Linked DNA regions of Styela clava. The protein of the gene in region 2 purifies or fractionates together with the protein of the main gene of each other region. This does not show direct contact. Links are inferred from orthologs where the notes say so. Each region holds a gene or a part of one and is shown on either strand. Other genes may lie near its edges.

Region 1 (11,516 bases), on a different chromosome or scaffold from region 2:
TAAAACATGAGATATTGGATTTATTAGCTTTTCCATTCTGAATCATATAGACTGCTTTATTTATTCTTAACGAAAATTAATAAATCTCCTCTCTTTCTTCAGATGTGAAAGTTGTGGACAAACCTGTCTAAGCATTGTGAGACTCTTGCAGCACAAGAGGCAATAGCAGAAATAGTAAGTATATCAATCAAAAAATTAAGCCGACATAAAGCAAAACTTTCAACTATTCGTCTAATCTCAATTTCCTATTATTTATTCACTGGACAACTATAGCAGACGGGGAGATATCAGAAGTCTGCCGACATATCAGTGACAGTGTGATTCCAAGAAATATAATGCAATAGAAAATAGAAATTTGCAATAGAAAAACAACCTATGGAGGCATGCAAAGACATTTGGCCCTCCGGTAGAGTTGTGTATGGCCCCCACATCCTGCAGGGCTTAAGGAAAATAACTAAAAATTCCAAAGCGTAAGATTGCATAAGCGGTCTTATTTGTAAAAAGGCACAAAACACGCCAGACATACTTAAAACAGCTTTGGAAATGAGGATTACGGGTACCTCACTGCACCTGTGTTATATTTGGTTCATCAACTTTTGGTAGTACTATAGAAGAAATTCCGGAAGGGGTATAATCATCATTCATGATAAAATACTATCATATATTTTTTGAACAACTTCAATCTAGACCAGGGATCTCAAACTCGCGGCCCCAGAGAACTTCCAGTGCGGCCCTCGAACGCTTAACAATAATTGTAATAGTATTTTGGAAGTTTTTTTTTTTATCTAAATGTAATAGATTTTTCAAACCTTCTAAAGTGAAATTGATTATTCACACAGAAAACAATTTACTGAAAGTAGTTTTGGAATATTAATTTTTTTGTCCACATTCTGACCCAATTAAGAATACACATCAAGCTAGCAAAAGAATACTTGAATAAAACACTTGAGTAATTAAATTAAACGCAAAGTACATGAAGAAGGTGGCATTTTCGAAGAAAATGGGAGTTGTAACATTTCTGCTCTTCACAAAATTCTGAAGCACATTGTTTAATTTGTCATATTTCCATCAATACAATCAAAAAACACAATAAGCTCAGCAGTCAATATGACAAATTCGAAGACCAACTTCGAACAGAAAATTTCCATGTGTTTGTATATTAATATAATTATACAACGACTTAGTTACTAAAAATCAATATCAATAATAATTCAAGCAATCCTATGCCACGCAATGTAGTGCGAAATGTCTTGTCGAAAAAATCTGTCATTTGTTTTTTTACTGATCTATACATGAAATGATAAACTTTTTTGCATTACTGGAATTAATTAAACATTCGTAAAGATCCAGATAAACCCATGATCATGTGGCCTCGTTAGTTAGAGTTGGTACTATAAAATCATTTCAGACTGGCCTTAGTATGCTGGTGACACAAAAAAGATGCCAAACGCCAGGACAAATGTAATTATTAAAACATTGAGTTTATACTGTAGTATTTTTGTTAATTTTAGGTTCATATATTTAGATTAAATTATTTTTAGTGTATGTATTATTCTTTCCTAATTCAAAGCTTGTTCAAAAATGATTTTGATGGTTGTACATAGAATTTTACGATTTTTTATAATAAATACTGTAACTTGCAAATGTTGCAATAATAGTGGAATGCAAATATTAATATGTAATTGCATTTGAAAATGAAGAAAATAATAAAACTTAATCCAACTGTTTAGTTGCATCACAATATATGTCACAAACTAAAACTATCTTAAAAATATCTTTTAAGTATACATTATCAAAAACTGTTTGCGGCTCTTTTTACAATTTTCAAAATGCAATGCGGCTCTCGAAAAACCATGAGTTTGACACCACTGATCTATTCTAGACGATTCAAGCATTGCTTTGGGAAATTATATCACTTCAATTAAATTGAAATAATCTCGCTATATTAAATACAAAATCGTTGCTATCACAAAGGTAAACCAATTCAGCCACTCGAAATATATTGGCCTTCACAAAGCAATGGAGGCAAAATTAGGAGTTCATGAGCTATGAACATTTGTTCTTTTCTTTGTCTTGAACTTTTCATACTCCACAGCCCCTATTAATTTTTTTTAATTTTAATTACCATGTGATGGTCATACATATCTTTAACTTGTATTTTCTGTCATGATGTATTATCTCAATGTGCCAAACTATTAATTAGTGTGCATATTTTGCTTCCAGATGACATAAATGTATTGTCATGTTTATTACCTCAGCTTGGAGTATTGACAAGAAAAAGGTGCCAGTAAATTAGGTAAAAAAATTTCCAATTCATTGTTATAATCAGAATTCACAATCAATAGGAATTATAAACAGCCAACAATCAGTGAGAATTATATGCGTAATCCCTCAGAATAAATTTGTCTAAAATCGGAGGAAGGCAAAAAATATAGGTAGTTTCCATCCACACAAGCATTTCAAGAAGACTTGCTCGAGCCAAACTAAATGAGCATCGTCAGGTAATCGGTAAGGCTGCAAGTTGAATTCAGCCCTGCAACCTCCTGCATAGAAGATAATATTAATTAGTGGGCTATGAGCTAAATTCCTAAATTTAAACAAACCTATCTACGATGCATTATGTACCAGCAATGTTACCTACGATTAACTGAATATGTAATATGTCTAATAAATTCACCTACAAAAGCAAGTTCGATAGGTGCAAACTTTGTGTTATGGAATTGTATCGCAGCACAGTTTTGTATGACACCCTCTTTAAATGAAATTTCAATGATTAAGCGCATTGAACATTAATTAACAACATTAAAATTACTAACTTTGAACTTTGTCATTATCTGCAAAATGTTCCACACAAATCTTTCCGCTATCGCGTTTGTAATCTTCTCTGATAAAAAAAACGTCTATGATGTCCAGAATTGCTCTTTACAGCTTGCCTGTTATTCCAGCTTTCCAAGTAAGCAAAACTTCTCAGATATAGAGATTATTTTGTTTCGTTACAGGCGCAAAAAGGCAGGTACTACACGTAAAAAAGACGCCGAGTAGCAAAAGCGAGCGGAAAACGGACGCGAAAGGCGACGAGAAATATGTGCATTGGAGCGTATCATGAAATACAATGTTTTGCCTGTAGTCTTATGGAGGGACGTCAGAGTTGCCTATCATGTTGTTTAATGTCATTGATTAAACTAACAATTTAACAAATGCACAAAACAATTTGTAAGTTTTATTCTGCGCGGGACCATGAATTTTTGCCCCGTGTTTTTTGTGCGTGGTCACGACGCCGGGTTTTACTTAAAAATCATCTTAAATGGGAGGAAATCAATTTACCGGCACGTCTGCTTATAACCGGATGTTATCTGGTGAAAACCGGTTGACACCGAGCTTGAACTGGTTCAATTCAATACGATCAGGAACTGTAAATTATATATAAAAATGATTATATACAACTGCTGATTGTATTAGGATACATGTGGATAAACTCAACTTCTGTCTGCCTGTGCACATATTGAATTAATGACACTTAGGTACGGTAGTGGTATGAATTCGTACCGTACGGTACCGGTATTGGTTTGGGTTTTTAATATACTGTTCATATACAGATATAGGTACCGGTACCGTGTATTGAGGGGAATGATATTTAAATTAAAAAATCGAAACATGGAAACAAAAACTTTGTATTTAAAATATAATAATTCGATTCTAAAATCTCAATACGAAAATTCCGTTTGGCATTGGAATTTATTTGGCACAAAAAAAACGGGTTGGACAGGATTGTTTTCGGAGAATACTGCAATACGGTACCAGGCAGGCCGTACCCGTACCGGTACCGGCTTCTTTATGTCCTTAATGTTTTTTGTCTTTACTGAGTTGTTTGAGGTGTTATGGAATTGGTTATTCTACGGGTACTCAATAGGCCGGTCTGGATTTCATGGCCTTTTTGAACGAGAAATCGGGCGTGCAATCAGAAATTCCCGCGTGCAAATAAGAATTCCTGGCGTGCAATTATAGCTCACGACGTGCAAAACAACTGCACTCGCGTGCAACTGACTTTGACATCAGATACCTTTCAATACATCCGCGTAAAATTACCGGTATCGGATAAAAAATACGTTGAATCAGAGAAAAAATGGACGTTTGACCTTTGACCCCAAACATTATTTCTACAGTTTGTCGCTAATTTTGAGAGTGTTTGTGCGACTTTGGATACCGGTACTGTTCAGTACATCCGCGTAAAATTATTGGATAAAAAATACGTTGAACCAGAGCAAAATGGACATACTTTGTCATTAATTTTGGTAGTGTTTTTACGTAGAATTAATGGATAAAAAATACGTCAAATTAGAGCAAAATGGACGTTTGACCTTTGACCCCAAACATTATTTTCATACTTTGTCACTAATTTTGGGAGTGTTTGAGCAACTTTAGATACCGGTACTGTTCAGTACATTCGTGTAAAATTATTGTATGAAAAATACGCTGAATCAGAGCCGTACTTGGCCATTGGTGCGGAGGCGATCTTTTCGTCCATAACTATTCTCACGGGATTCCTATTTCCTATCATTCAACACGATATGGACCTTTCCCCGAGCATCGACTTCCTTGTTTACTTCGTGACATTGGTCAATCAGCAAGATGCAAAAAAGGACGTAACAATGAGAGGAATTTTTCGCGGGTCAAAGGTTGGGGAAAGGTCCATGGTCTTTTTGCTTCGCAATATTTCGATCAGACCAAATCTTGCAAGCTGGTATTTGTCGACAATTGTGGAGGTATAATATTTTGGCATCTTTATATTACTGGATTATTGATTTTAAAACCATTTAAACCGATTTACATTGGTGAGCAATTGCAAATTTTCGGCGTGCAAAATTGATTTCGCTCGCGTGCATTTTTGCGGAGCGCTAGCGCCCTCGGGCGTGCACCTGCCATGGAATCCAGTCTGGTAATAGGTACATGAAGACATGTATTTTAATAGTGATAGTACCGTCTGACCGTGGTCTGGCGCAGTTTCTTATCCCCAAGATTATCTAGTGGAGTAGTGGGCGTAGCATAACAATTTTTGCAAATGTCAATCCTAACCCCACCTGACTGCATCATTCAAAAATTGGGTCTCGTGTAGTTACGTACCTAACGTACTTCTAGTAGGCGTAGCATAACAATTTTTTGACATGCCAATCCTAACCCCCACCTGACTACGCCATCCAAAAATTATGTCACTACGACGTCACAGTGACATAATGTAGCCCTTCAAACTATACGACCTGTCATCCAAGACGCGCAGACGAGCACCCGAAATCGAACAGCTATTTCTCTCGTTTTCTCGTCGCAACGATCCCAATAGGAGAAAGATTGCTAGCGTTAGCAAGTTCGTTATCGTCGGCGCCGATGCCATTTCGGGCGATTGTACTTATATTTGGCAAGCTCTATGACGTGATTGTGATGTCCTAATGACGTAATTTTAGAATGACGTAGTCGGGTGGGGGTTAGGATTGACACGTCAAAAAACTGTCATGCTACGCCCACTAGAAGTACGTTAGATACGAAACTACACGAGACCCAAAGTACGTTAGGTACGAAACTACACGAGACCCAAAGTACGTTAGGTACGAAACTACACGAGACCCAAAGTACGTTAGGTACGAAACTACACGAGACCCAAAGTACGTTAGGTACGAAACTACACGAGGTCGAGACCCAAAGTACGTTAGGTACGAAACTACACGAGACCCAAAGTACGTTAGGTACGAAACTACACGAGACCCAAAGTACGTTAGGTACGAAACTACACGAGACCCGGAATAACAAGCTGAGCCTACTGAAAGTACTTTTAGTAATAAACTATACCTGACCCAAAATTCCTCCCAGGCTGTAGTAGGGAATACAGTAATTCCACTCTATTTTGGAAATGCTGAACGAGAGACAAATAGAGTGTCTGTTTCATTGAACCAATTTTTGGAACGTCTCGGAATTGAGAGACTGTGACCGTCTGCATATTGCATTAGCCAAAATATGAAAGCACATTTTGTTTATGAGTTCTCTGCCCAATTTGAAAATTTTTTTTTTCATTATTTGTTAATTTTATGCGGCTGCATGCTAATATTCACGTTTTAAAATCCAGTCGAGGTGTTCGATAAATGATCAAGAAAGCTCAATTTCATGTGTTGTTTGTGCCTATTATTACTCTGATGACTGATTAGAAGTTTCGAAATTAGTAATTGTATCATTTATTAACAGTTGGGGTTACATGATGGGTTACATGAAACTAACTACCTTACCTTGCTCTATGCCTTTGCGCAGGTGGATCCGAATGCGTATAATGCAAGGATTGTAACACAAGTCATTGCATACTATATCTTTTTCTTCTTTGTAAGTTGCCTAATATTCGGTGATGCGTAGGACAATTAACATGACTTCGCGAAGAATGTGGATACCTCTTGCTTTACTGATCATACTTGGATTTGCTATATTGGAATTACAACTCTTAAAAGTAAAAAGCAATGGGATTTATTCTTCAAAAACCGTTGTACGAGATTTCGCAAAAACTAGTGAAGAGGAAAAACACACATTTATGGACGATAGCTCGACTGTTGTGTTATACAATCGAGTTCCGAAAACTGGAAGCACGACTTTTACGAATTTTGTTTATGACTCTTGTAAAAGGAATGGGATTTATGTTCTGCATATAAACACTACTAAAAACAGTCATATAATGTCCGTACAGGACCAATATAAACTTATTCAAAATATAACGGATTGGAGGGAGTACAGGCCAGTGTTTTTTCATGGGCATATGGCCTATCTTGATTTTAAACGATTTGGCAGTCCGGTGACACCCATTTATATCAACATAATTAGGGACCCTTTGGATAGACTTGTATCGTATTATTACTTTTTACGGTATGGTGACGATTACCGTAAAGGACTTAAAAGAGCAAGACAGGGTGATGATACTACTTTTGACGAGTGTGTGAAAAAGGGACGCCGAAATAGCGATTGTTCAGTTGAAAAATTATGGCTTCAAATCCCGTTTTTTTGCGGGCAGTCTGCGGATTGTTGGGATGTTGGAAATGAATGGGCATTACAAGAAGCTAAAAGGAATCTAGCGAATAATTATTTGCTTGTCGGCTTAACTGAAAACATGGAAGATTTCGTCGTAGTATTGGAAGCAGTTCTGCCTCGAATGTTCAGGGGGATGACAAACAATTTTAGAGAGGGGTCCCAATCCCATATCAGGAACACATTACATAAAGTACCCCCTAACGAGGAAACTTTGAACAAATTTCACAGTTCTAAAATTTGGAAAATGGAAATGGAATTGTATAACTTTGCTAAGAATCACTTTGAATTCATTAAAAAACAGTCAACCGTTTTAAGCAAAAATGTACTGAAACCTGCCCCAAAGAGATTCCGATATGAGAAAATATACGGACCGGAGGGTATGATATCGAACTAAAACCAAATTTAAAGGCTTTCTCCCTTAAGGTAGAAACTTGAAAAATTTTGGAACATCAGAAAAATAATTTTTGAGTTTTATAACTCCTGTAGCATTTTATTGAAATACTTTGGTGAACATTGCTTCAAACCAGCTCGAAGAGCACCTATTTTTTTGTAATATTTTCAAATGAAACTTTTTTTAGAAATTTAAATGTTCGCCTTTTTGTCTTGAAAACTTAGAAGTATTATCAGAATAAGAATGCGACTCTCATCAAATGAATAGAACAATGGTTTCAAAATATTTATGAGCTATTTTAAAGACTCTAAACTACACCCTAGTCCAAGGTTGTGGGCTCCGCGGGCCACAAAATTATTTTTGCATTGGTCGCGGGCCACAATAGTACCAAGAATAGGTAAACAGTGTAGTACAAAACAAGCACTTCTATTGTGTAAACACATAGTTATCAGGCATTACCAACCTAGGCTAATGGAATCCGCATTCGATGTTTAGTTTTCTATCATGCCTATATTGTTAGCATATATTCCCGACCAAAACGATAGAAATCCATGTAATAATTTAGATTGCCCATCACATCTTAAACTTCGCTAGTTGCTTCAGCTAGCCATCATACTAGTCAATTCAGTCACAGTAGTGATAAAACAACAATATGCCAAACGATTTTTCTGATTTATTTTACGAAAAGCAATTTAAAATACGATATTTTGATTACTCTCCGAATGCGACGCAAGCCACTGGGTTTAGACCACCCTGCTCTAAACCAAGAGTGTGCAACGTGTTTTGTCTGTTGGTTATATAATTTCAGACATCTAGATCGCCCAAACAAAATAAAATTTCCCCATGTAGCCCACGAATTAGTGACAACCAGAGCGTCGCGGGAAAAGACAATGCCCTAAAATATAACCAATTTAAATTATTGTAAATTATAATTTTGCTAATACGTATACACACATTACCGGTACTATTTTGTTTACTAAAGCTATGGTTCAATTTATTATTACTTATCAATCTTTAGATCGGTAAGTATGTTGATAGGTATTTGTCTGTTTGTCCGTCTGTTAAATGCATGTGATATCTCACGAAGGCGTGGTTGAATCTGCTCCAAATTTTGCATGTGCATTCATCATATTTCGGATCAGAAACCTATTGATTTTGGATGAATTATGTCGTATAATTAGCGAGTTATTAATTAATTAGTGATGGGACACGCGCTGCTCAACCTTTTTTCTTTCGTGGCCCACTTAATTGTATAACAATTCTGTGGCTAACTAACTTTCTCATGCAAGGAAAAAACTACAAGAAAACAAGACTCTTTTCGTAAAAATAATTACTTTCATTTCAATAATTAGAATGAAAAGCAGCAACATCATTCATTGCTACTAGAATAAAAATTTGACTATAATGACACAAATGAAACTCTTCAATAACCATAGTAATTTCTATTAGGCTTGTGGCCCATTTGAAAATGTCTCTGGTTGAGAACCAGTGTTATTCGTATAAGTAATCAGGATATTTATGGGTTCCGTTTTTATGTCAGCTAGTACTATTGATCAGTATAAAGAATTACCCTGCATGTTTTCTTTGATCACAATTCCTTATCAATATAATACATCATGGCAAGGTCTGCTATTCAATAAATAAATCAATAACTACTTAGCACTAGAAAGTGAAACCACTTTAAGTAACCACAAAAATGTGTGTTGCTAATTTAAATACATTTTAACACCATTTTTTTGTAGTTGTTTTATATGATTACGTTAGTTCCACTTCATACTTTCTATTTTTGTTACTTGGGTAGCTGAAGGAATTTTTAATTTAAATCAGCATGTTTCTTTTCACTATTGAATCTTTGACAAATGAAAATATTCTAATATTTCTTAAAATCATGCATTTACTTTATCAAATATATCGTATACCATCGCATATAAGCCAAGTTTAAAACTACAAAAAGTTACCAAATTAAGGGCTTATACGGGCTTAACTCAGATAACACTAAAGGGTTTGACAGTGATTAGGATTTGTAGGTTAGGCTTATATGCAAATTTTTATAAATCCACTTTTTTAGAGCTGGTTTAGGGAGTCTTCTTATGTGCGAGGATACACTGAGTCCGATTTTGATACATTTGAATATTCCGCCTGATTTAAACATCGCTAAATTGGAATTGGTATGGCGTACATGCAAAACGAGATAACAGGATATGATAACAGTTATGCTAGCATGTCATGCATGTCTCAATGATTCTCACTGATAGTTAAGTCGTATCTTCTATTCTTGAGTGCTTTTCAGCCAATATCGGCCATTTGATATCATTGAAAAACAAGTTTTTTCGCAAAACATTGCACTTCGTTGGCAGTACACATTTTGGTGCATCACTCTGATTTAGATGATGAGAATCGGATCTGTTCTGGACGGAAGTAGAGACTGCCAAATTCTAAAGCTTATCATCTTTTATATATGCTATGATATTATGTACTGGAAGATTGCTTGACCCCTCGACGTCGTAGGGTGGTTCACGTAACCGCTGGTCGGTTACCGCTTCCTCCGCCACCAAGTCCATGATTCCGAAAACAAATAACTGGCTAATCCCATACTCGACCAAAGCGTATATATAATATAAGCGAGGCAACGCTAAGACAATGGACGCCATTTTGTGCCTATTGTTCTCGGCAGTTTAACACGGCGCCTTATGAGAAGTTCCAACACAATTATTAAAACATACCTATTATTTTCACTAATATTTTAGGTAGAAAAATTTTGAAGGTCGCGTTTTGAAGTAGAATCTTAGCCGTACATGCTTATATCTTTTCATGTTGGCCAAATTACATTTATAGTACATTAAATTGTCTTTGAAGACAAGTATACCGGTTCCGAATTGCTTCCGAAGTAAATTGGCCATTCCAATCGTCATAATTAACTATTTGACAATGGCGTTTCTTATGACGTCACAGATGAAAAGTTGTATTTATTCGTCGAAATTACCGGCCGACCCAACTTTGCTTCAATGGCCGTTTTTATTTTCTGGTTAACATATTTTGTCTGACAAGCTCCATAATGCCCTACTGCTGAGCTCCAAGCTGCGCTAGAAGAACAAATGACATTGTAGGATTGTTGCGGTGACATTTTACAGCCTCAAATTGGCGTATCACTATAAAATCTTTGAAAAAATGACCAAAAATGGTTCTACGCTGTGTTTGTGGTCAAATTTAACGCATTAGATAGTTTTGTATTCCCAATTGCGTTATATATTTAGATAGCATATATCTTAAAGTTCAAAATCCACCCTTCGGTTTCATTCTAGCCCTTATAACAGCGGACTTATTCGATTCGGTACAACAACACGACGAAAATTTCCCATGAGACTCCATTGTTTCGCGTTTCCCAAATATGGAACAAGATGGCGTCCATGAACTTGTTTAACATTAGGCAAGTTGGTTGCCGGCCGTTGTACTCGACATGGAATGGTAACCTGACGAGAGTCTGTGGTTTTCCATATGACCTATGTCCTCCGACAATCTGCGTAACTATTGACACCTCCCATAAAAAGTATATTCTTCGCCGTTCAAATAAGCGAAATACACCACGTAGGTGTTTATCGAATGGTTTTATTAGTCGCCTTGCGAGCGAGATATCTATACTCTCTTTCGGTGTAGACATTCTCGAAATAAATTTCGAGAAATTGCTTCAAATTGTAACGACTGTAGTAAAGAAAGTACGGTAGTTATACAGACAAATTGTCTATTTCAGTGTGTTGTGTATAACCTCCTCTTTCAAATAAGCCATGAATGACAACTTAGATATATATCAGACCCGAGATATCGATCCAAAATTATCACGCAGTAGTAAAAACACAGCCAGGTATTTACTCTTATTTGGGACGTCATATACAGTCTTCTGTTCATGCTAAACACTATTGAGATATGATTTGAATATATTTATTCAGTCTAACGAGCCATGAGTGACATTTTGAATCGAAATCAATGAGAGATATCGCTGATTAAAGCTGTTTTATATCGGCTTTTCCATCCCCCTGGACAATAATGTAAATCCTATGTTGGCTAGGCATGGTTA
Region 2 (10,443 bases):
GACAATAATATAACACAATGGAAAACCGTCACTGTAACTAATAACTATCAGCAAATTGAATTTATTTTTAGTGTATTTGTCGTTTGAGGCATATTGGAGATAGAATTTTTCAATTGTGCATTGTCGCCTCTTTAGAGGACTTTCGAGTACCCTTACATATCATACAATGGCCTATTTTTATCCAAAGCCATAACATCCAATCAAAATTAACCGTTGACAATCGGCGTTAACGCCCCTTAAACTGAGACAAGGGGGTACTATCGTACGGTCTAGGTGTTTCGCAAAATCCCATCCGCTATACACGAGTCAAAAGCTGAAAATTCGGAAGATGAGGTTCGAACATTGGATAGAAGTCACGCCCAAGTTCGACCCAAAGTCGCATTTGATTGGCTATTATGATGGTGCAATAATAATACTCACCAATCACGTAAGAGAGAATGAGGTTCCACCCAATGACGAAGGCACATAATTCGCCGACTGTAACATAGCTGTAAACGTATCCTGATCCAGCTTTGGGTACGCGTGCTCCAAACTCGGCATAACATAAACCTGTGAAATAGAAATAGAATAATCTATTGTTCCAATATTATAAATATTTTTATTGTGTTGTGATATTTGATATACCGTGACCCCGTTCTGACGAACTCAGATATTGCGCGATGGGCCGGCGTTAGGGGTTGAAGCGTTGGACTGGACTATGTTGGAATTGCATGTTAAAAATATTGGGATAAAAAACCATTTACGCCATCCCCTTACAATAGCTTCTAACGCAGAGCATTGTTCAAAAACGCCGTAAATATAATTCCATGTATTTATTACAAGCTATTTCATATTACATTTTCGGCGTTCCCGAGGTATGTGTACCGAGATGGCGCATAACCTGAACCCTAACCTGGTACACATACTATGTTCAGGATGTGCGCCATCTTGGTGGAGCTCCAAATTTTCATGCAAAATTGCATGACGAGTGAAACCAAAATCTCTTATGATCTTGTCTCAGGAATTAAGCAACGCCGAGTTAGGTTAGAACTTGCATGGATGATAGGCTGAGAATACAGGGTGTCGTCGGCATTGCCTACCCAAGTCATTACACCACGGGTAGTGACGGGCATGGGCTTCAAACCAGAGTTGAATACAACGCGGTAACAAACCCAGTAAACCACCCTATTAAAACGTGCATTTTGACCTGGATGAATGAATACGTCATACGCGGTTGGTTCGCAAACGTTGTGTATCGGCAATAATTGCACGCAACCTATAGTATTTGTTAGATTCGCTACCAATTCGACCAACAAACTTTGCACTCTTTATTTACTGAAACAATATTTGCGCAAATTTTGCTTACTCCTTGGTTAAAAATCATTCTGTTACTTTTAGGCGCTACCGGACGTTGATTGATTTAGTATAGTCGCTGTTAATCATTGACAATTTGCTTTCAAACATTGTTTGAATGACCAGCTAAGGACTCGCCCTATTGTTCTAATAAAGATTCTATGAAATGCACTCATCTGCACAACAAGACATGAATGGTTGTATGACACTTCGCACATGGGTGCTTCGTCGCTTTGAGAATTGGATGTAAATTGGCTTCAAGTTAAATTTATTTAAATATATTGTACGCATAACTGCAAATCCACCATTAAATATACTTATCCAGTGAGTATCACTTGCAAGAATATATAATTCACGTTCAAATTTACAAATATTTCATCTGTTACGTAATTTGCGCGGCGGTGTGGCTCAACGGGCTAAGCGTTAGGAATACGCTCGCCACCGCACCTCTAATTACTCTGCGTGGGTTCGCAGGTTCGAATCCCATGTAGGGATGGTTATGTGCGAGAGGATTGCTGGACTCCTCGCCGTCGTTGGGTGGTTCACGTAACCGCTGGTCGGTTACGGCTTCCTCCACCACCAAGTCCATGCTTCCGAAAACAAACAATACAGTAAAAACTAATCCCATAACCGGCTTGGAATGGTAACCGGACGAGAGGCCGTGGTTCGCCATATGGATAAGCCGTCTTATCGGCTTTCCTCTCCCCCGGGATAAATATGTAAATCATAAGCATAAATCATATTTATCAGCGATTACCATTCGACCACTCGAATTGCATCAAGTTAACTCTACTTCTTTTCTCCAACAAGCAAAAATCAATCTTACACAGATAACGAGAATAGAGGATGCACACCGTTTTACGAGGATGGGCACCGGAAAACAAAGCGGGTTATGAATCAGCGACTTCAAATGTATATTTTTATTCTCTCAATAAAAAGATTCTAAGTAAATTCTAACGACTTATTCAAGAAAAAAGGTTGTAATGAAAATTTCAAAACAATCGCACTGTCTTGGCATAAAATTCTTGAATTAGTTTTACGTAAATTTTTCAGTTTAAATTAGTTTATAATAAATTTGATACGGAACATTATGCATTAGTATACTATTGCGGGGATTGTGGTTAAGGAAATCATATATTCCAGGATCCGTTGGTGTCACCGTGATAAATTATTCATTCATTTGCATTGCGCTACTAGAATGCCCATTAGCGTTGGCGATAGTTATAGTGACCTGAGGGTCACTAAAAACCATCCATTTTTATGCGATTCTGTAGTTTATCTATTTTATCGTTAAATATGGAAAGGTTGTAAAATTGTATGTCAAATGTTCGTAAACCGCCAGGTTGACGACATTGGGGACTGCAAAAATCCTGGCAGAATTATAGATTATTTACACGCGGAAAAATATTTTTGCTTTAAGACGGGCAGAATCAACAGTTCTCACTCGGAGTCTCCACTCTGATAAATATTTTTATTGGTAGATTGTCGTGCATGAGAATTGAGGTTCTTATGTCGAAATAATCTTACTTTTATACCCTCGATATAAAAATTGAGTACTCGTAAACGGGGATAATAAAGTTTTCTTTGTCGTAATGACCTTAACTACCTCTTCAAGTGTTGCGTCAATCGGTCTTTGCCAACGGGATATTCACGGCCATAATTCTTTATAGAATTTGTGTACCAAGTTAGGGTTAGGCCACAATTTGATTCCGATTTTCCTTATTTTAGTTATATTACGAGTTCGGGGACTGTCTGTGTTAGCCAAGTAAATATATCCCCTGCCCATACGCTTCCGTCCCTTCACACAACTTGATGTAAAGTAGGCGAAATAAGTTACCACCTCTGTATTGGTACACATACTTCTGGAGCGCCAAAAGTTTAAGTGTTAAAGAAAATGTTCTTCCGTTTTCGTAGAATTAATAAGAAATTTATGGATTTTGTTTTAATCGAGCAAGTCCGTTGTATTCAGATATGAACATGCTAGCTTGATAAGTCGCTCTCGTTCTATACACTATCAGCATTAATATGAGTAAACGACAGGACCGCCAGGTACAAAATACTGCCCTAAATTGAACATCCGTTAATAATCTCCTTTACTGAGATAAGGCACGACAGACTGATAAAATTTATATTATGATCGATATCTGACCTCATATTGGCGATAAAATCTCAATAAGTAACTAAACGTTTCTTCGGGGCATGTGAGAGAAGAGGATATTTAATTCCCCCGTGGCTTAAAACGAAAAAATTAAGTTGTTGCTCTGGGCTGCATGGTCGGGGAAAAATTAACAGTCGACTCCAACTCCGGGATGATTAAAAATTTGACTCCGGCGCATGACTCAACACCAGCATCGAAATACCAGAAAAAAAATGTGTTCTAAACACATGCAAACCGTCTTTGATAGGCAGTTAAGTTATTTTTTTAGTTTCTGTGTAAAATTGATTCGATTACCACTGTACCTGTAACTCTGATTCCGGACACCCAAAAGTTCGAAAATATCAATCCGATTCCGGTTTTAAAATAAAATGTTTAAAACTGGACTCCTGACTCCACATCCCTGCCTTTGCCGACAATTGTAGGACTTTCATATCAATATTTCAAAATGCCACCAATAACTATGAATATTATATTAGTTTTTCTACGTTATCGCAGCAAGAATATCAATCGTATATTTGAGTAGAATTGATTTCAGTATCTTTAAAATACGGCGTATTTGATTGATCAATTATACTTTTAATTTTACATTTCTCGAAATGTTGGAACGATTTTTGAACGAACGATAATTCTAGGTACAAATACTGCGGGAGTCACTTGGCTAGTCCCCGAACTAGTATAGAACGAAAATAAGGAAAATTGGAATAAAATTAGGGCCTAACCCCAATTTGGTACACATATGGTGTCCGCCACCTTGGTACCCATACTTCAGGAGTACCTAATAAACTGCCATATAGACCGCGGCCCGGACTTTTAACTTACCAGATAGTACTGAAGTCAATGCTGCGATGAGAAATGCAATAACAACGCTTGGTCCACTGGTATTCTTTGCAACGGCCCCTGTCAGTACGTAGACTCCCGCACCTGCAACGACAAACGTTAAGATAGGAATAACGCTGCATCTCTTACAACCCTTTGGGGCATTTTTTAATTAAAGGTTAATTTTTAAGATCACGCATTTGTAAAATGTTTATTTCGAAATATTAACTTTAACACAATAAGGGAGATTTTATTTTTTCGGTTCATTTATGAGTGGATTACTATGGCGCAAAAAATAAAACGCCCGGGAATCATCAAATATAAGAATTGATCACAGAGAAAATCGATTGATAGGAACAGATTATAATTTTAAAATTATAATAAACTTAATAAATTATAAAAAAAACTTTAATAAAAATGATCAATTTTTCACACAAACTCGTAAAAAAAAACTCACCCAGAGTCGATCCAACACCAAGAGCAGTTATATCAAAAGTATTTAGAATCCTTCTCAGCTTCGACTCATTCATTGTTCCTTCATCAATATGCTTCTTGCGGGTAATAGCACGAGCAAAATTAGAACACACTTCCATTTTGATTTCAGTTATTAGTTATATTCAAATATTAATATAATCCCTAGCGCTTCTGGCTTTCCTATTTCTACGTCCATAATAAATAAAATACAAAAAATAAATAATGAACAAATAAAAACTTGTTACTCTAACATTACTAATTACTGAAAGAGATGAATAAATGCTACGAACAACACCAAAGCCTTATATTATTATGATGTCACAGATGAAAGAACGTAAATTTGAAATGAGAAAATAATTACTAAATCAGGTTACTCAAATACACGTGTACGGTACTGCGCGTTTTCTATCGCTAGTTTTTCTTTACTCTCGCTCGTTTGCAAATTTCACAAAACCCGTCAGACGTACTCTTGAACATTAAAAAGATTTGTAAATCTGAATATCAATGTGCAAAAATATTATCATATTGTCAAAATTTTATTACATAACGGTGAAAACTGCCCATATGCTTCGAATGGTAATTTTAGACCTTATAAACCTCAATACTGTTAGCGGATACACGAGGCCACCACCTTTTCGCCTTATCTGCTGCTTTTTGTCTCACGCTACGAACTTTTCATGATATTAAACAAAGGCACTTAACTGTATGTGTACTCAGGTTGTTTGTCCTCCAATAAATACGAAATACACACATTGCGAAATATGCTTACCGCAGTGAAATTGTCGGACTGGTATAACAGGCCCTTAGCTGCCCAAATAAGGTACATACTTGGTACTTTTATTAATGGTGTTTCACGAACGCGGCACATATACGATTTGCAACTTCGATAACTTTACTCATTGGTGAAGTATTATTCACTACTAGATTGCAAAATCTTCCACGTGATTGGGAAATGCTGAATCCCAACTCTTCAAACGATTTGCGAACTGATCTGATTTGAATTTTTAATTTAAGGTGACAGGTTGCGACACACTTTCGATTCTGTTTGCTCATTGGTTTGATCAAGGAAATAACTTTCCTCGCTTAACAATTACCACAAGCCTTTGTTTTAAACTTCAATAAGCACAGAGAATGTCGATGTGCACATACTACCTATATATGTAATATAGGGTTTCCATATAGTCTTAAAATGTTTTAAAATTGCAGAGGGAATTTATCGATACCATATATTATTTTGGCCCTCACAGATGTATTAGATAAAGTAAAAATACTTGAATAACTACTGATTAAAATACAACAAACCATTAAGATATATATATTGAGAATGGCTTCATAACAAAATTGAAACTGTAGAGAGACTTAATGGGCATCCTGTATAATAGCCTAACCGGTTGCAGATTGCCAGTCCCCGTAATTATTTGTATTCTACACATCCAATTTATATCCACCTTTTCTCACTTTATGCTTTTGCACAAGTGGACACAGTAAGAATGCTGTGTCAAGAATGGATTGGCACAACTGTGTTGTTGTGCAGCAAGACTCTTGAATCAAATCCAACTTATATTACTTGATTTTTGAAAGGCAGAACCTATGATAAATTGAAACATATGAAAACCAATTAATTGTCTTTCATAGGCTATATTTCCTATAATACATTTCTGCGTTATTATTCTAGATCTAGAGTAAATGCTTTCCAAATATTTATTTTAGGACGCAACAATCAAAAACTTCGTATTTTCGTAAAATTAACCATAAATGAAGAACAAGAAAGAATACTTTAAAACGACAATTCACTTTATATAACATATTTTACGTCTATGAAAAATGAATTCGACTCATATTTACATTTCTAATCTAAAATACATCATAACCGAACAAATTAATCCAAACCGAACGAACTTCCATAAAAAACAACAGTCATGAATCCAACTTCGCCGTGGTTCACACCAGACTATTTTTGTCGGGAGCGCAGCAGTTTGACAAGCCGGCTTCAACGAACATCACGACTTGTCATCACAAATCATTTTTCAGGCGTTTCCGCGCCGGAAACAATTGGGGGGAGTTCGATTGTTGTAAAGCTAAGAAGATACATGGAGTTCCCAACGGCAGCCTACAAAGAATAACATACATATTCTCACAATTATAGTTGTAGACGCAGACATTTGGGCATGTGAATTTTGACTCTATGTATGTCGCAAATTTTAGAATGTCAAGTCACCAATATTTTAGAATGTCAGTATCACCAATATTCCGATAACGTGAGACTTGAGAAAAACTGTTGTTTTTTAGAGGGGGTTTCGTACAAAAAAAACTATGTTTCACACCTTAAAATTGCATTGCATTTTTAAAAAGTTTCCAAACAAAGAATAACATTTATATATATTCTTGAAATTATAGACGTAGACGCCGACATTTGGGCATAAGAATTTTGCCTCTGTGTATGTCGCTAATTTTAGAATGTCAGTATCACAGACCTCTCAAGATTACTGGAAATACAAAAGAAACGAGAATCTCCTTTTCATGGTCTCAGATACTCTTTTCTACACGCTCATCCAAATTAGGTTTGACGGAAGGGGGACTCGAAGCAAGATGTTTCAGTTGGCGATGGTTGGCAGCCCACCTATTTTTGGAAATGAACCCTTTAGCTGCTACGTCTAACTTAACAATTAGAAATTTCATAATCGCTCTTTGCAAATTCCTGGTTACGACCTTGGGTTTCATATATACCTTAAAATCAATCTTTACATTTTCAAATACGCAAATCTACTTTTCTTTTTCAATATTAATATTATAAATGAAATTAAAAAAATGAATTTATAATCTTAAAAGGGTATATTTTATTTTTGTACGCCACGGCTTCCGCTTAACCAGCCCTGCTGACGAACGACGAATTAAGACTGACGCCGAATGTGGCTAATGCGTCGGGGATAAATGAGGAATTCATCCACACTATTAACCCTAGGGTTTCGGCCCGGTCATAAATGGCAGATCTGTGTCATAATTTGGGATTATGGCTAAATTAAATCTATTTTGGGGGGTCAACAGTATTTCATAGGGGTCTGCATGTGAACAAAACCAATTTCAAAACTCAAAATGTTCGAGTTTAAATTATCCATGCTTGATCCGAGTGTTCTCAATTACGGTGACGTCATCATATTTTTTTTATGTATAATTTTTATTTTGCAACAAGGTCAAATTTATTTGTATGAGTATTTCAAAGCTTAAAAATAACCAAATATTTGTTGTTAGTTGAAAACGAAGTATTTTGAACGCGCAAGCAACGTTCTCCGGCTCATAATAAACAAACAAAGATACCAGACAGCACGCGATCAATTGCTCTTCGATAAAACGAATATCACTTCACTTACAAATCCCACTTTTGTTTTATTATGAAGGTGGCGTAAAACTCGTCCAAAGGAAAACTCTTTCTCTCGCATATCAATCACGTGTTGACCACAGCGTTAAAAGTGAGAAACTTTTTCTCGAAATTTTTTGAAATTTCTCTCTTCTTACTGGCATATGGTCGGACGCATTTACGCTACGTAATGTGGGCGCGTTTTAGTGGAAAGCGACGAAAATAAGCTTTTTAGGGACACATTAATGATGTCTTTGGCATTTTTGGTTGGTGAAATATTAAAAAAATTATAGAGGGGTGTCAAAATGACCCAGGAACACCAGGGGTCATTAGGTTAATACCATTTATTAATCCATATGAAAAAGGCTGAAAGAGTGTCTACAGAAGGCAATCACCAGATTTTGGCTCTATTGTTAATCCATAAAGCCACCGAAAATTTCCCGGCGATGTGTTATATTAAAATGCCCGAGGTGTAACTGAGGTATAAAGTAATACGATCGGGATTATGGAAACGCCCTCCACACGCCCACAAATGCCACGTGGTACCAAATTTATTCTCCATTAATAAAAAGACGTACAGACACAACTCAAATCGTAGCCGTATTGCTTAAAGCTCAATTCTGGGACAATATTACGGGTATTTGCCGTAACACTGGTCATAAAAAACTGACCTCGTAATTGGAAACTCGTTGAAAACGAAATACTTCACTCGAAAATAATACAAATGTTACGTCTGATAATCGACTATAGTATGAATAAAGACTACCATACCATACCGTCTTGTTTTAAGATTAAAACTCAAAAATTTCATAATTACTTGAATAAACGAAAATTAAAAAATTTACTTGCATTCGGACGTCTGATTGTGTGTGATTGTACTTAAAAGTTCAAGTACTGTAATCTAGGGCGCTTTGAACACAAGTTCTCTCCAGATTCTAAAATCTATTCCAATTGACCTGGATCTGTTTTCAGGTCACGCTGTATATATCATAAACTATAGCACTCATTTATCGATCAGGAAGCAAGAGTCAGTGACACAATAAACAAACTGGAACAGATCGGGAACAGCCAACTCCTGCAAGACCGTCAATTGATGCTCACACGCCAATGTAATAACGGCACATCGCGCGCGAAGACTAGTGATAATAATACCTGGAGTAAACCATAGGCGCCGCGAATCTTCTCAACTTTGTGAAAATCTATACTTTCCAAGTTTCCATAATGATGACTGGCAGGGCCGGCCTTGACTATCGCGAGCGTCTGTGTAAAACGGATTGCGCGGGGCGCAGATTAGAGATGAAAATTTTACATTTTTTTACTTTTAAGTACAAAGGCAATATAATAAAATCACTTTACAACACGAATCTCAATACCAAAGCATAAACACGCTGACCTATACAGGATTAGAATTCATAATGGTTGAATTTAAAAATTTTCATCTTAGATTAACGCGAGGCTCACGGACATGATGTGTGAGTTGGCCTAAGCAGTGGCTTTCAAACTTTTTAAGCAGCGCCTTCTTTTTTAAATTTTGTCAAGTCTCGCGCCCAATATCCAAAATAAAGAAATTTAAATATCCAAAATAAAGCGGGCGAGATCAAATCTAACAAATATTTTTATTTTTAATCGATTTGCTTCACGCCCCCTCAAAAATTGCCTACGCCCCCTTTGTTTCGCGCCCCATCCCCCTCCCCCACTGTCCTAAAGTCAGCAGTCCTGGTGAGTGCTGCGGAAGATACACAGCGGAACCAACATTGATCATGCTTAGTAAGTATCATATGCTTAATTGAATATCTCAAAAGTCTTTTTGAACGCCCAACCATGGAAAATGTTTTGAAAGCGATTATTAATATATATTCAATAACTGAATACACGGACACTCGTACATGAATGTTCTCCCTTTGTCAGTAAAGACCTGAGACGACCGATGATGATTGACGTTCACTGTAGTTCTAAGAGCCGAAGTTATATAAACTATTGGAACAAACTCAGCAATTTGTTTAGATAGTGATTCTTCATTTTGGAATAAGAGTGTGCCGTGTTTCATATATATTTACTAATTTAGTTACGATACCAACACTCCCTACCACAAGATAGAGTACTTTCCTATAGCGACAAAGCATTTTCTTCGATAATTGATTCGAAATATACTTCTTGGCGGTTGAGATCGATATAATCTTTAAGCGAGACGAATCAGGGTTAATAATGAGGGATCAAGAGACTATGTGCCAATGTACCCGGGACTGGTTATTGCTACGTGAAATGTATACAAATGATTATCAACACCAAAATGCCCTGTGATCTTAAA

The links. The genes of interacting proteins can lie anywhere in the genome.
Region 1: the proteins of high affinity cationic amino acid transporter 1-like (region 2) and heparan sulfate 2-O-sulfotransferase 1-like purify together in Homo sapiens (co-immunoprecipitation; 3 studies listed by BioGRID and IntAct, counting the BioPlex papers as one, with this or other methods). This does not show direct contact. The link is inferred for Styela clava from reciprocal best matches to the Homo sapiens genes SLC7A1 and HS2ST1.

What each region holds. Positions count from the first base shown.
Region 1 is NC_135251.1:7,464,327-7,475,842, forward strand, and holds the start of heparan sulfate 2-O-sulfotransferase 1-like, read left to right. Parts: upstream 1-6,084; 5' UTR 6,085-6,382; coding exon 6,383-7,447; 3' UTR 7,448-11,516. UniProt on the Homo sapiens protein: Catalyzes the transfer of a sulfo group from 3'-phospho-5'-adenylyl sulfate (PAPS) to the 2-OH position of iduronic acid (IdoA) or glucuronic acid (GlcA) within the heparan sulfate (HS) chain and participates in HS biosynthesis.
Region 2 is NC_135250.1:26,195,887-26,206,329, forward strand, and holds the start of high affinity cationic amino acid transporter 1-like, read right to left. Parts: upstream 5,032-10,443; 5' UTR 4,900-5,031; coding exon 4,764-4,899; intron 4,412-4,763; coding exon 4,310-4,411; intron 550-4,309; coding exon 421-549; intron 1-420. UniProt on the Homo sapiens protein: High-affinity, low capacity permease involved in the transport of the cationic amino acids (arginine, lysine and ornithine) in non-hepatic tissues.